2 linked regions of the Struthio camelus genome follow. The protein of the gene in region 1 interacts with the protein of each later gene in a pairwise test. Links are inferred from orthologs where the notes say so. Each region holds a gene or a part of one and is shown on either strand. Other genes may lie near its edges.

Region 1 (7,847 bases):
ATTATACTATCTGAACAGAAATCCTCATGAACGGCAACCTTATGATAAGTTTTGACTTTTGGTTAAAAGAATATAGACTTTTTAAATTATTAAAAAACACATCTTCCTAGCTAAGAAATTATTTGTAAGATTGGCATCATATTTAGTATTTTGCACTTACAACTATGAAAAGAGTCTCCAAACAAACACATCACTCTCTTTAAGCCTAAAAAATGTTAGAGTGAAACATCTGGCAAGAAAAAAAAAAATTTATAGCAAAACTTAGAGAAAAGATTTATATCATACTAAGAATACTAAACAACTAGGATATGGAGCTCCTACTCTGAAGAATAGGCATATGGAATAAACTTAATTTTAAAAATGAATTCTACTAAATGCATTTCTCCAACTATTTTTCCCTCAGTACTGCTAGAACCATAACTGTTTGCCGGCTTACAATATGGAAAACCACAAACAATTCAACTCTCTGCTCAGATCCATAATTAATCTTTACTACTAGTAACAGCATTATGCATTGTTGTGCGTACACGGTGATAGTCCCATGGGTAAATGCTCTAACCTCACTATTTTGTACTATTCATTGAACAGATAGCAAAATGCTTTCCTCATTTAAATCTAAAGGGGAGCCTTTTCTGTACTTACAAATTGTACTAGTTTACACAAATATCAAATTTTAAGACGGTTAGTTAAACCAGTTCAAGTCCCTTTGCGGGCAATTTTCAAATGATTTGCCACTGGCTTACATCAATATTTAACCACTAATTGTAGTTGAACTGACACATCTCACATAGCTACCCAGGACCTATGCCTCCGACCAACTCCTAAGACCTAGAAAAATTCCCTTTCACTGGGTTGATACATTCATTCATAATTCTCTAACTATACACAACGCACAAGCATTTCTTCAATATTGAGCATCTTTGCCTTGTAATTATGCACATTGTCTGAGTCATACTTTACACCTATGTGTGGGAGAAGATACTATTTCAAGGAGTAAAAGAGCATAGCGTGCTTCTCACTGGGCCGTATGGGAGCATGAGACACAGCATTCAGGTGTGAAGCTCCAACCTATGTTTAGCTCTCAACATCAGACTGGCTGAAAAAGCAGTTCTGTGCGGTGTAGAGACCACCATGAAAGGCTAAACATCAAACAGAAGTACAAACAAAACCCTCCTGCTGTAAGGCGTTTAAAAAAAAAGAGTCTTGAGTGTGCAATGTGGGGACAGCCTAGAAAATAAAAAGGGAAAATAGTTGGTCAGCAATTAGCATCTAGATCAGAAGAGAAACACATTACAGAGGACAGAATTCTCTCCGGTGAACAGGATAGACCAGCCCAAGCAAAAGTGAGAACAGAAATAACTTTAGTTGAATAAATCACACCATCTTCAAAGAACTCTAACATATCTGTTGCAAGAAACAGAAGCAAAAAAGCACCAACTGAACTGCCATAATTAAATCACACATAACATACAGACAACAGAAAATAGAAATATCTTTAACTCCCTATACCCCCCCCACCCAAATGCAAAAGCAAATGCATCTGGAAAAGTAAAGACCAATCCTTCAGTGATGATCAAAATGTGTAAGGAACAGAAGACAGGAACTTAATCTCTTATCCAAAGTCATCATTCTCTTTCCCAAACTGGAAGACTCTCTCACATGATGTCCTAAGACCCCTTTCTCTGTTCCCAAGAAGCACCTGAAATTATTCCTTATCATTTACAGACAAAGAATCAAAAGAGAATGGATAAAGCATCATTGGTCTTTAACATGCTCCATGTTACGCATGTACCGCGCGTTGAATGTTTTCTTTCGCCACTCCTTTCCACAGCCTCTCAAGGCAGAGCCATCAGTACTTTTGCAGAATCTAGAGCCACGGAGGGAAATGCAATGACAGGAGCACTGAAGGCCTATCTAGCATCAAACAGGACCATCCCCTCAGAAATGAAAACCGTACATTGCAATAACACATGCTCAGCTGAATTCGTAAAACTCACGTAGATCTCTGTCTATGCCAGAGAAGGCATCTGATAAGAGACCTGATCCTCCTCGTTAATTCACGTTATCCCTTGTGTTATTCGACACCTCTACTCCATACGCTAAATATCCCACCGCAACATGCTTTGTACTATACTTCCAACGAGCATCAGCTAGCCAACATGCACGCTTTCTCACTCAACTGGAAAAATTACGGGTAAGGAGGTAGCAAATTAAATCCATAACAAATAACTCATCCCTGGTCTGGGACAACAGAGGCACAGAGGAGTGTCTGGTCACTCAGATTAAGACACTTATGAGATGTGGCAGACAGAAATATGCTAAAGGAGAGCAATTCCTTTAAAGGAGAAGAGCGGCAAGAGATAGCAGCGGTTCTACAGGATTTATTTTGTCTCTTTAGGCGCTATTATAGTTCTCAAGAATCAGGAAGGGGCTTCCCTAGGAAGAAAGCACAGGCGTAGCTTGCGCAGAGCGTTCTTTTTAGGGCAACGGACAAACTGCAAGAAATGATAAAATTAAGATAAAATTAAGATAAAATTAAGATAAAATTAAGATAAAATTAAGATAAAATTAAGATAAAATTAAGATAAAATAATACATATAATTAAGAAACAAGCCAGTCCAAATCCTGCCCATCGTTCCTAGCCGCCAGCAGGGGCGGAGAGCCGGAGCGAGGGGCAGGGATGTCCCCCTCCCCCCCCGCCCGGGGGCGCCCCCCCGCCATTGTATTTCCCAGCGCCGACAAACCCACCGCGTGTGTGTGTGCGTGTCGGTGTGTGTGCGTGTGCGTGTCGCTGTGTCCGCGCCAGGGCCGCCCCGGGCAGCCCGCTTTCCCTCCCGCTACCGGCCCGGCCCGCTACCTGCATGCCGCCACCGTCGGCCTCCCCCTCCGTCCGCAGCCTCTTGCTGTGGCCGCCCTCGGCGCCGTCCCCGCCGGGCATGGGCTGCTCCAGCTCCGGCTCCCGCTTCACGCCGCGGGCGGCCCCGCCGCCGCCGCCGGCCAGGAGCTGCGGCTGCTGCTGCTGCTGCTGTTGCTGCTGCTGCTGCTGCTGCGGGGGCTGGCCGCCCTCCGCCATCCGCGCCGCCGGAGCCCCGGCCGCCCCCCCGCCGCCCCGCCGCGATCGCCCCGCTCTGTCACCACGACGCCCGGCCCCGCCAGCGGCGACGGCGGCGGAGGAGGCGGAGGAGGAGGAGGAGGCGGGCGAGCGCCGGCCCCGCTACCACAGCTCCGGGCGCGGCGGGCTCGGACCCACCGGAGCGGCTCGGTCACGGGCTCGGCGGCGGCCGGGGAGGGGCCGAAGCCCCTCGGCAATCTCCGGAAACGGCGGCCGAGGCGCCGAAGCAGCGCGACCCTCGCTCGGCAACCTTCGGCGACGGGCGGGGGCGGGGCCTCGGGGTGGGGCGGGGCCAGCGCGGGCCGCAGGGCGCCCGGCCGCCGCCGCCGCCGCCGCCGCCGCCGCCGCTATCGCGCCGCACGGGGCGGCGGGGAAATGGCCGCCCGGCGCGGGCCTCCCTCCCCGTCCCCCTCCGCCGCCGCGAAGCCCCCGGTCCTTGCGCGAGCAGCCGGGGCGCCGCGTTGGCCCCAGGCGGTGCCCGCCCTGCGGGGTCGCCGCCTCCGAGGCCCGCCGGCCGCCTGCGAGGCCTGCCCGCGGCCCCTCAGGCCGAGCTGGGGCCTGGCCCGCCGCCTGCCCTCGGTGCCCCGCTCCCCGCCTGCCTTGCGCCTGTCCGCGGGGCGGGCCTTGGCTGCTGCGTCCCTCTGCCCCACTGCGGGGAGGTTTCCGGGCGGTCGCTGACACCCCACAGCGTCCCCCGTTGGCTCCTTCTCTGCCCCTCGCCACCTGCTCCTCTGTAGGACGGGCACGTTTGGGGTTTCAGCAGAGACGAGGCTGTGTAACACCGCGGGGATGGTGCTCTTACACCAATAGATTCTGGTCTGTCTCGTCCCCTGGCCGTGAAGCATATGCTGAGCTGAAAGCAGGTTTTTTTGTCCCGCTGTACAAGTATCTGTGTGGGGAATCATCACAGGGTTTAAGGTGTGCTGCACATAAAAGTGGTTTCATCTTCGCCTGCTCGAAGCCTTTTGTAACGAGGCTGGGCTAGAGATGTTATATTTTGGCTGATAAATCTTGGAGCAGACTGCAGGAGATGCAGGATCCTGTACAGCAGGGCTGCCCGCCTGCTGGAGCAGTTGCGCTGGGGGCAAGGATGCAGATCCCCAGCCCCTCGTGGCAGAGACGTATCCTCAAAGCCCCTACCAAAGGCTCATCCATGTTTCAGGGCTGTTTTTCGGGGAGAGGTTTCCACGGTTACAAGCACAGATTTGCCTGTAGGAGTAGTACTGAGCTAAGGCAAATCTGCAGGTGAGAATTAGTGACCCAATCCCCTGCTTTAGGGGTGTCAGGCTTCTGTAAGGATGCTCTGCCCAACTTGGTACCTGACGGTGCTCCAGCTCAGGGTAGCGTCCTGTCGCTCAGGGCATGCGTCTTTTCTCCTGAATGTTTCCGGGCTTCCTCTGTACGGTTCTGGGAAGCTCACTCTAGGGCACGTCTCACAGTGCTGGTCTCTGATTTCTGCAGAAAGTGGCTGATCTGTTTTTATAATAGCCTCGGTGGGATTCTCCTGCGTTTTTCTACATAACTCCTAACTTGTTTTCCTGCAAATGACTTGCAACCAGATGTAGACATCAGTATTTAAACTTGAAGCCAAAGTTCATCAGCTCTTTTATACTCCTCCGTGTTTTTGATTTTAAGAACCAAATTTTGAATCCTTAGCATGAATGTGAAGTTGATTTTACTGCACAGCTGCTGTCTGGTAGCACCAAGGACAATGTCTGTTCTAGAGAAAGGAGAACACAAGCAGCTTTTGCTATCCTGAAACTAGTTTGGAAGCTTTGGTAACTTGATGGAGAACTAATCTGCAGATCCTAATACAAACATGCAGTTGGTTTTATTATGGCATGGGAATGGGTATTCTTCCTCTGATGGTCAACACTTGAAAAGGAGAAAACCAGGAATGGAGGTGGTCAGCGTATGTCAACACACATGACAAGAAACCCTTCTTGACTTTTCAGATATCACTGTATGTGTTGAAGCCTATGGAACAATTGGATTATCTTGGTGTATCTTTACTCATCTGCTGATCTTCATGAAATGATCGAGCCTTTGATTTTGAATGACAGTTACAATACTTGACTCCAGTCTGCCCATACACCACATTCTTTCTGATCCAAAAATAGTTTTCAAGGCCACGTTAAAAACTATTTTAAGTGGTACGTTTTTGCAACAAGGTGCCAGCTTGTCTCTTCCGGTGACAGGGAAATCTCTTTTTTTCCAAAATGATTACAAATCCCCATGGAGTGGCAGGCACCCGGAGGACAATTACATGTAGTTTTTGTCTGCTCGCCCACCAAGGGTAAACACATGTCTCATTCATCTTGACTGGGTTTGATAAAATGAGCCAGACTGTCAAACAACATTGAATGAACATGTTCACTCCACCCTTGACTTGAAAAGAAGAGAGATTCTCATGATTAGGGTGCTACTCATTCGATGAGAAGCATTTCTGTATTTCTCTTCATCTGCATGCACCTTCCATAACTAGTATTTTACTGGGACATTCTAGATGACTATTACAGATTAAGATCTTGCCTATCAGACACTGCAGAATGCTTCATTTTTAAGGGAGCCAGCCTGAAGAAAAGTTAGCAGTAAACCCTCTGCCATATATGTGTCTGCCTGATATTCCCCTTGAGGAATATCAAAAGAAGGAGTTGTTCAGTGGTGCCCAGGCTCCATTTTTCTCTTTATCTTCCCCTAGTCCCGTTTCCACCAGCTCCTGCCATACACATGTCAAAGTTGCTGCCGGTTTCCCCTCACACCCCATGCTCACATGGCCTGCTCTGCAGAAGAGCGCCCAGGGGAGCCCACAGTGTGTAGGCAGGGCCCCTGGTCAGGCATCTTCAGCTGGCTGTGGTTGGCAGCCTGCAAGCGAAGGAGTCCAGGACAACTGCATAGCACAGAGCACCCTCAGCAATGAAAAAAGCTAAGGCAAGGAAGGTACTGTGCCCTAACCACTGCAGTGACCTGCAGTTATGACTGGTATACTGAGTGCAGTCATCTGCTTTCTGTCATTATTGAAATGATATTTGGTATTATTATTTCTCTAGCTTTTTCCATTTGCACTTAAAAAAGATTAATGATTTAGTCTTCACAATATGCTTGTGGGATAGATACTGTCTCCATTTAACGGAAGGGGTATAAGGCATTCCTGAAGTCACAAAAAAGCTTTTGAGCTGGGACTATGCTGGTAATCCATTGATTTCCTTTCACACAACCCAGCTGCCTTTTAGGTATTTGTATGTGACATCTGAGACATACTAAACAGACATCTGATTCTTCTGTTAACCCTTTCATTGCTGCGCAGCACTCTTGCCTGACTCCTACATGCCATTATTTTATGCACAAGTTTGTGGAGCACTCACCAACGCTTAATCTTTGACAAACCAAAAAGAGGCAGCTATATTAAACATTATCCTTACAGAGGAACGCTCAGAAATTGGTGTGAAGAATATATCTTTCTGAACAAATACACATCATTTTAGACTAAAGTTTTTTTTCTTTTTCTTTTTCCTAGAAAGGCGCCCTCTGAAGGGACTTGAAGGAATATGTTTTGGTGCTCCCATTGGCCTGAAGATCAGGTGGCATCAGGACAACACTGAGTTTGAAAGCTCTGTAGAAGTACAGGGAGTTGAATCTCACTATGGTGCTCTGGTGGAGCAGAGGCAATGACTCACGTAAGCTCTAAGGAACCGGCAGGAAATGAGGCACAAACTCAGCTATTAGTATTTGACCCAATGGCATAGGAATCATTAGGAGACAGTTCAGAGTGAATCTCTTCCCTTCACCGCCACAACAGAGAAGGGTTTCTTGCTGTTTCCATTGTCTGCATACGACGTCTCACCCTGTTGACCTCACCAGCTCCTCTTGCCCGCTCAGCCTCCTGCAGCTTTGCCCCCTCTCCTTCCCAGGGGATTTTATCTCTCTGCTAAACGGGTCAGTGGAGATTTAATAGTTTGCCCAGCCCTGCTCATTTCTGCTGCTTCTATCCTGCCAGCCAAGATCTTGGAGCCAAAGCTCTTCCTCCTGACAGCAATACTCCCACAGGTAGCGAAGAGCAGCTGAGGTAAAGTTTCTGCCTGCACTTTGGTCCAAGTTTCACAGGAAGTGTGATACAGCTTTCCTTAGTGAGAAGCATGGGTAAATATTTCTCCTTGCTTATCTATAGCTGGCTCTTCAGAACTAAGTTTTATTAACAGAAGTTGCCTTTTCTTGTCACAGGTTAGCACACAGCCAAAAATACATAACGTAAGTCAACAAAATTTGAAGTTTTTGTCATCTGACTTAAACTGTCTGTATGAAGGATGCCAGTCCTCAAGCTGTGGCAGGAGGCCAATATTGATATGTTACTCTGACGCAACAGTGCTGGCAGCGGTCAGTCAGCAAGTCGACACCCACAATGCACCTGGTCTTTTGCCAGGGCCACCTCTTGCAGTGAGGACATTGGGCTTCAGCAAACACCATTGAGCACCTCGGCGCTCCAGCGACGTAGCAATGGAGACAGCCAGGAACCACCAAAGAGCTCCTAGCAAAACTTCCCTGTGTAGCCATGCCTTGTTATTTTCCTACCTGCTTCAAGCCTTGCTGAAGTGCTATTTTCATTGCTGCTAATTACCAATAGGCCTGTGCTTCTGTGGGGTATCATCATGTACCAAAGTTGCGTCATTTCAAGTATACCAATCCTGCTAAAGCCGTACGACACCTGCAGTGCAGATGCAGTTATCTGCATATATG
Region 2 (7,926 bases), on another chromosome or scaffold:
GAGCAACAAACTGATCAAGATTACTTCTTACTCTTTTCTTTGACTAGCTGCATCTGTTCAACTGTTGTAAACAGTACAGCCTAGAAAACTGCTACCCAAAAGCGTGAATGTAACCATGCCCTAAGCATGCAATACTTCTGTAAATCACACCATCAACATTAGGGCTCAGAAACTAAGCTACATGCCATTCATAACCACTAGTGAAGGTGATCTCAATAATCTGATTAGAATCTCACAGTACCTTCCGGAAGAAGAATGGACAGAATTTGTAATGGTACTACTTCACAATACTTTATCAAAAAATATGATCTAATTGCAGGCTGCCATTTAAAGCATGGCTTTGCTCTCCCTCTCTCCACTGCCTCCTCACGTGATCTGATAGTCGCAGACATTTCTTATTCATTTGTGTGTTGCAGGGAAGTAATTTCTTTTAGAAAGGACAAGTTTTCAGCCAGTTTACCATGTAATTAGACAACTGCATGAATCCAATGCAATAGATACAAGAACGTGCAGCCAGAAAGAGCAGGACAATACACCATTTAGCAGAAGCCCACAGTAAAATCAGACTAGGCATATTATAAAAATACAACCTAGTCTGTATGTCTTAGATGAAAACTGCCCCCTTTTTCCCCCTGCAATTCCAACTCTTTTGCATCACACCTTCCAATTCCTACAAGAAGAGGGCAAGATCCTGCAGCCAAGGAAAATTAATTTACTACATGTTACGTGAAACAGTCCCATCCTTCAAGTTGAAAGCAAGGGCTCAAACTCCCACATCGTAACTAAATGCAAGGAAGCTAACTAAGATCAGGAAAGCAAACTGAACCACAGAATTCCCTACCTCTTAAATGCTTCACATCTCTTAATGTTCTGTCAACATGGGTTGCTTCTGCAAGATGAAGATGATTCTCAAAATGAAGATGATTCTCTACCACCACCTTCCTGTCTGCCCCATACAGCTCCCTCCATATCAGCAAGAACTTCAGGTGGATTCAGTTATACACACAACTTTGCTTTTGTCTGTGCAGAAATGCCTAAGCCACATCAACTATTATTAGTTCTCGGTCATGCACGTCTTGTGGCCTAGAGTGCCAATACAACCAAGACTGCGTAGAGCCAATCATAAAACTTCCCCTCGCTAACGTTCGTTGAGCAAAGAGCAACAGCCGTGGGGTTTCAGACGTTACCGCTTGCCTGCTAGAGTTCATCACTGCCACAACATAACGCACCCCCATACCTATCAGCAATACAGTTTGACACCACCATTTAAAGCCCCAGTGACAGCACTTGGAGCCAACGTGCCAGACTGTAAGCTGGTAAGCCTTAAGCACCAGCCACACATTTACTCCGTTGCTTGTGAGAGGGAGGGTAACAGTATGCCAATAACTAGGGTAAAAACACGTAAACAAGATTCTCCATCCAATTACCAGAGCCCTTATTGCAAGTTTTGCAACTCCACTACTCAGTTCCTTAGCTGAGCACACTTACACCCCTGCTGGCTTCAAATCCATGAGTGAAAGTAACACATCGTACATCTGCCTAAAGATCTGCCTAGCGTTTAAAGATGAATTAGCAAGGGTACCTTGTGCAAGGCATAAGCACAAAGGAATTAACTACAGTGTGAACCCACAACATTTAACTGCCTGCTTTTGACCATAAAAACTGCAATCCTCTTGTAGCACCGTATCTTCAATACGGTAATTTGTCATCTCACTTCAAGAGTAAAAAGATCTGTTTTGGCTTTTTAACTAAAAAAAAATGATAACAGAAGAAAAGCTTATACCTATGCCATTCTGAAACATAACTGAAATGGCTGAAAATACTGGCTGTGTTTACACTTGAATAACTTTAGCCACTAAAACTAAATATGTCACATATTGCTAACCTCGCCAGAGCATCACGGTATTAATTAGGCTAAGGATTTTTTTTTTCTTACGTTACCATTATCACACAAACAACTTCTGCTTAAACATGACATCACGTTAAAAAAGTTAACGTCTGAAGACATAGCACATTAAGTTTAAACCTCTGATCTCAAAAGCAGCACCCCGCTTTCTGCTCCCTTGCAAGTTACTGGCGTTGAAATAAACTGGTTGTAATCGGGGGGAGATCGGTCTTTAAGAAAGCGCAGAAATACCGAGCAACGCTTCACCAAGACTGCTTTAGGGGAAATAATTTATAAACTGGGATTAATGACCGGCTCTTCTGAATAATAATTAACAACTGCCGCTCATTAGCCTAGATAGCTTTTTTTTTTTTTTTTCTGGAAAGCGCATTAGCGAGTAAACAGGCTCTCAAAACAGCACACTCCCACAGTCACCCGCCCGCCCCCCAGCCGGGGCTCAGCGAGAGGCGGGCCGCTCCCCCCGCCTCACCCCGGCTGGCGAGGGCCGTGCCTCGGGCGCCGGGCCGCCCCCGCGGCTTTCACCCGGGGGGGGCCCCGCGGCGGGGCCCAGCGGCGGCCCGGCCCCCCAACTCACCTCGGTGCCGGCCTCCAGCAGGAGCCAGTCGCCGCTCGCCCCCACCCGGCGGAGGCACCAGGCCAAGCCCGAGGCCCCGCGCGCCGCCATGGCGCCCGCCCTCCCGCCGCTGCGACAGGCAGAAGCAATCGCTGCTGAGGCGGCGGCGGCGGCGGCGGCGGCACCGCCTACCCGCTCCCGGCCGCGGCGCTCTCGCGAGGGCAGAGCCGCCGCAGAGCCATAGCGGCGGCGCACCGCCCCGCAGCCCGGCTAATCGAGCCTGGAGCGCGGAGGGGGTTGGGGGGGCTGCGCATGCGCCCGGTGGGGGGCGGCGGCGTACGGGCGGCGTTGCCTGGGGGATTTGCGGGGCGGGAGGAGCGGCGCCATTGTGGTGCGCATCTTCTCGCAGGGCGCCCCACGGGCTTAGGAGCGGGGTGCTGACGGGCAGGCCGGCCGGCCGAGGTCCGCCCGCCCGCCACAGTCGGGGGATTTGGAGGCCCGGGCGGCGGGCTGGCGGCCGTCCCGGCCGCTCCCAGTGCACACACCCTGAACGGAGGCGGGAAGCCACCCCCGCCCCGCCCTGCGCTGCCGGGCCCAGCCGCGGCCCTCCTCGATCCCATCGGCCCCTGCCACGCGCCCTCTCCTGGCTCCTCCCGCTCTTCTCGCTGCCCTTCCCGAAGGCGCCCTCGCCCGCCTTCCGCCCTCGGCCAAGATGGCGGCGGCCGGGCGGCTGCGGCGCCGCCTGCTGCCGGCCGTGCCGTGGCGCTGGGGCTGCGGCCCCCGCCGCTGGGGCACCGGCGGGCCGGCGGCGGGGCAGGTCCGCGCCGCCTTCCTCCGCTTCTTCCAGGAGCGCCACGGCCACCGCCGCCTGCCCTCGGCCCCCGTGCGGCCTCGGGGGGACCCGCGCCTCCTCTTCGTCAACGCGGGCATGAACCAGGTGCTCCCCCCGCCCCGCGGACCGGTTGCGAGGGGCGATGCGCCCCGCCGCCCCCTCCCCCGGCTCTCCGCACTGTCGGGGCTCGGCCCGGGGCCTGCGGCCGACCGGGAGCCGAGGGCTTCGGCTGTGCTCTGCCTGGGGCCCCTGCCTGCAGGCCGCCGTGGGCGGGCTTCCCGGGAACTCCTCTTCCTCAGAGGAAGGCGGTTTATCTGTAGCAGGAAAGCCTTTTTCACAGGAAAGCCTGTGGCCTGATCGGCTCCTGTACCTCCTTGTCACCTCACGACTCTCCCATCTCCATGTGCATATCTTCTGCTTGTAGCTCCCTATCTGTATTTCTGGAGCTACAGTCATAAGCCTGCTATGCTGGACGGTGTCTAGCAACAGGAGATGTCTCTCTGCCTTGATTTCTAGTTTAAGCCCATTTTCCTGGGCACGGTGCATCCCCGGAGCGAGCTAGCACAGTACAAGCGGGTGGTGAACAGCCAGAAGTGCGTGCGCGCTGGAGGGAAGCACAATGACTTGGAGGATGTGGGCCGAGATACTTACCATCACACCTTCTTTGAGATGCTGGGGAACTGGTCCTTTGGAGATTACTTTAAGGTGAGGCAATGAGAGTCAGCCCTCTCCAGGGGGAGATACAGCTTTTCTTTTATAGCATCAGATCTGTCTTGTAGCACCATAAAGGTATTTGCACGAGGCTTTGGCGAGCTCTGAATTCCTTGCTGGAAGCTCTGTGGCTTGCAGCAGAGGTAGTCAGCGTGCTGAATCACTAAATGTGCCCGGCAGAGAACTCATTTCTCTGAAAGTGCCCAGCCTTTGCAAAGCTGCCAACCGCATATACAAACCAAAGCGCCCTGTGTGAGTGCCAGTGTTGACCATGTAATATGGGTGAAAAAAGGTTCCTGTTTCATTTTGTGCTTGTTACTGGAAAGTTCGAAAAGGGAGAAGGATAAAGAATGCTAATTGTTTTTCTAGTATATGCATTTCTTCCTAGGAAAGAAAATAATCCATGTGACTGTGCGGGTAAGCAGGTCAGTGTAGACCATGCTGTGATCCTGAAGGTCTCCCAAGGATTTAGGAAGGCCACAGTTTCCCACAGCTATTTGAAGAACTGTCTATAATTGGCCTGACCCCCATCATACTCACTGACATATGTCTTAAGACTGCAGAGGGACAGAACAACTGAAATTAGCCTCTTTGGTGTTTGACTCCCATTCTAAAGAACCTTCTTGTCTCCCTTCATGCCCTGGATTACTGTACTTCCTCGGTGTTCCCTGCCTGCTCAGGAGGAGGCATGTAGTATGGCCTGGGAGCTCTTGACAGAAGTCTACAAGATTCCCAAAGATCGTCTGTACGTCACCTATTTTGGTGGAGACTCTTCGCTGGGGCTGAGCGCAGACGAGGAGTGTAGGGACATATGGCTCTGCCTGGGGTAAGTTGTGTTGGAGAAGAAGTTCAGAGCAGCAAGTACTGACGTTTCAGTCTCCATAGTCTCTCATTTGCTCTTTAATTCATGGGATTCAGATGTAGGAGCCAAAAACTGGGCTTTGAAATCATTTGGTTTCTGCTTTTTTGGGACTGCTAAAAGTCCCAAAACTCGGAGCACTCTGGGGGACTTCATCTTTAAGCTGTTGTTCAGATGCAGTCAGTCTAGAAGGGCTGTGAACCGAAGGTTGTCTGACCGGGATGAAGTGACGTGGTGATTTCTGTTCCATGTGCGGTAATGCTACTCCCACTATCCTTCTTTTCTTTGTGTGATCCTTTGCTTCCTCTCCGTCACGAGCTGCGGAGATCGCATTGTCCTCAAAAAGCTAGCAATGGCCCCCTCAACCTGAGGATGAAGCCCTGATGTACTTTGGGAGCTTGTTCCAGGCTGTATGCAGACTTTGGGCTGAAGGCTGATAACTCTGTGCCATGTTTGGTGTCCAGCTTTGTTTGTCCTGATCAGATCTTAGCTCAGCTAACCTCCAGGGAGAAAAGACCCAACAGAAGACCCAACAGAGAGCTGGCCATCGATCAGCAGGGGCCAGACTGAGCTTGCTAGCCATGCTGAGTAGTGAGTAGGATCTGTCTGCTTTGGTCCAGCTTACCCCTGCTAAGGAGGTTAATTCCGTGTGAACAGAAGCAAATGAACCTTAATGTGTTCACATTCTGAGTTTGTAGTAGTCAGAAGGGATCCTGCCTCCAACTTTCTCTGTGATCTAGGCTAATCTGTATTTTGTGTGTGTGCCCCAGTCCTGCCATCCCTGTTGTTTGCCTTTCCAGGGTGCCTGCCAGCCATGTGCTTCCTTTCCCATTGAAGGACAACTTCTGGGAGATGGGGGACACAGGTCCCTGTGGTCCCTGCACAGAGATCCACTATGACCACGTGGGTGGTGGCCGAAACGCTGCAGCACTGGTGAACCAGGGCAGCCCTGATGTAGTGGAGATCTGGAACCTGGTCTTTATGCAGTATAGCAGGTACTAGGCATCCAGTCCAGATCTCGGAGCCTTTCCCTCTCCTCTGACATCCAAACCCTAGTCAATTTTTCAGACTTCTCACTGCTTTCCAGGAGGTGGCGGTACAGGATCAAGGGGAAGCAGTGGAAATGTGTTTTCATTGTGGCCCATAGGCCCCCTTTGCCATGCTTCTCCTGTCCTTCCTCAGCCTGTGCTGCCTCTTTTCCCTCACTGCTTCATCCCAGATGTTCCTTTAGGTCTGCAGCAGCACAGAAAATAACTGCTAGGAGGAGGAGAAGGGCTTAGGCCCCTGTTCAGGGCAGGCCTTTTTCCCTACACCATGTTCTGACTATCCAATGGTCAGAGCATGGCTGCCCAGCAGTGCCACCTCCGGCTGCTGTTAGTCCTCTCCCTGAGATTTCTTCTTTTGAGTCACCTGCCCCAGTGCTATTTCCACCTGCTGTCACTCTCCCATCCCCTATGACTCGTCCACTCCTGTTCCTTGGCCCTGGACTGACCCCTGCTTCTCTTTTGCCTTTTTTTTTTTTTTTCTGGCATGCTCACAGAGAGGTGGAGGGGAATTTACTTCCCTTGCCCCAGCACCATGTGGATACAGGAATGGGTTTGGAAAGGCTGGTGACAGTTCTGCAGAACAAGCGCTCCAACTATGACACAGATCTCTTCACTCCCATCCTGGATGCCATTCACAAGGTGATGATGCTCCTGTTCAGAGCCGCAGCTAAGCCAAAGCCCCATGAATGCAGACTGCTTGACTGGTACCATAACACAGCCTTCTCCACACACATTACTATGCAGTATTTTAAGACAGGAGGTATGTGTAGCTAGGCCCACAGCAGCATTCTAGAGAAGCTGGGGAAAATTCCAGATTGGGAATCCACTGGGATAACAGCTCTACTGATCCGTGTTTCTCCAAGGGTCTGTTAAATACCTCAGGGCCAGGGCATTGGTTGACATCTCTTAGGCACACAAGCCTATAATTTTCTCAGAAGGTTTTATGAGTACATCTTGCATCGTAGGCTGCAGAGGCAGTTGACAAGCATGAAGTCAAGTGTGTAGCTGGCTGTCTTACCTTGCAACTTTTTTTTTCTACAGCTATTCACAGCTGCTAATCTGTCTCCTTACTTTCTCTTCTAGGGCTGTGGGGGGCCCAGATACCAAGGTCTGGTCGGGAAGGCTGACGTTGGGGGTGTGAATATGGCCTACCGCGTGGTGGCAGATCATGTGCGTACCTTGTGCGTGTGCATCACTGACGGCATCTACCCAGGCCTGTCTGGAGCAGAGTAAGGACATGCAGAAATGGCACAGGGTGGATGGAGTTTCCGGAAAGGAAAGGGAATATGAGCAGCCCTAGGGGAGAGGTTGTGGAAGGGGTCAAAGACAGGGAGTGGGTGAGCTGTGTAGAAACACGAAGGAGAGGGCCTGGAGGCATTTAAGATCAGCAGGGTCATCCCCAGATAGATGTGAAGAGTGGGGTGCAGCTGGCCTATATGGATAGATCAGGCCAGAGAGGAGTTGCGTGTGGGGTGTGCTGGATGTGGGGGCAGGGCAGGGATGCTCACAGGGCTATCTAGGAAATCGTGCCCTGCTTTCAGACTGGTGCTGCGTCGGATCCTGCGCAGGGCTGTCCGCTTTTGCTCTGAAGTCCTCCATGCCCCACCTGGGCTCCTGGCCTCCCTGGTTCCTACTGTAGTGGAAGTGTTGGTGAGTAAGAGTTGCTGCCTTAGGGAAGAAGAATATCACATAGCTCCTGTTCAGTCCCATGTCCCTTTCCTGTGTGCTGTCAAGAGACAATCTTGTATGGGAAGGAGCTCCAGGAGGGTGGCTGTGGTGCTGTGTGCTGCCACAATAAAACTCTGTTTTCTCCTGATCACTTGTTATTGGGAGGAGGGGACTAGTGTGACCTGTGGCACCCTCAACACAAGTATGCATGTAAGTGTGTGCGCTGTTGTTTCCCAAAGGCAGTGGTTTCCACGCTGTCGTGTTTGCTTAAAGCCACCTGGAATTGGTCCCTGGGATTGCTAAGCGCCTCCTAAGAGAAGCTGCTTCCTTCCCCTTTGTAAATTGATGCGT

What was found. The genes of interacting proteins can lie anywhere in the genome.
Region 2: the proteins of RBFOX2 (region 1) and RNF8 interact in binary tests that used the Homo sapiens proteins (3 or more experiments, as listed by UniProt). The two-hybrid records come from large-scale screens. The link is inferred for Struthio camelus from reciprocal best matches to the Homo sapiens genes RBFOX2 and RNF8.

Annotation. Positions count from the first base shown.
Region 1 is NC_090942.1:59,494,667-59,502,513, reverse strand, and holds the start of RBFOX2 (RNA binding protein fox-1 homolog 2), read right to left. Parts: upstream 3,090-7,847; 5' UTR 3,075-3,089; coding exon 2,859-3,074; intron 1-2,858. UniProt on the Homo sapiens protein: RNA-binding protein that regulates alternative splicing events by binding to 5'-UGCAUGU-3' elements. Prevents binding of U2AF2 to the 3'-splice site.
Region 2 is NC_090944.1:104,607,146-104,615,071, reverse strand, and holds the start of RNF8 (E3 ubiquitin-protein ligase RNF8), read right to left. Parts: upstream 3,085-7,926; 5' UTR 2,571-3,084; coding exon 2,481-2,570; intron 1-2,480. Other genes in the region: AARS2 (alanine--tRNA ligase, mitochondrial), read left to right, coding at 3,172-3,396, 3,808-3,996, 4,683-4,828, 5,662-5,856, 6,402-6,546, 6,991-7,136, 7,449-7,557. UniProt on the Homo sapiens protein: E3 ubiquitin-protein ligase that plays a key role in DNA damage signaling via 2 distinct roles: by mediating the 'Lys-63'-linked ubiquitination of histones H2A and H2AX and promoting the recruitment of DNA repair proteins at double-strand breaks (DSBs) sites, and by catalyzing 'Lys-48'-linked ubiquitination to remove target proteins from DNA damage sites.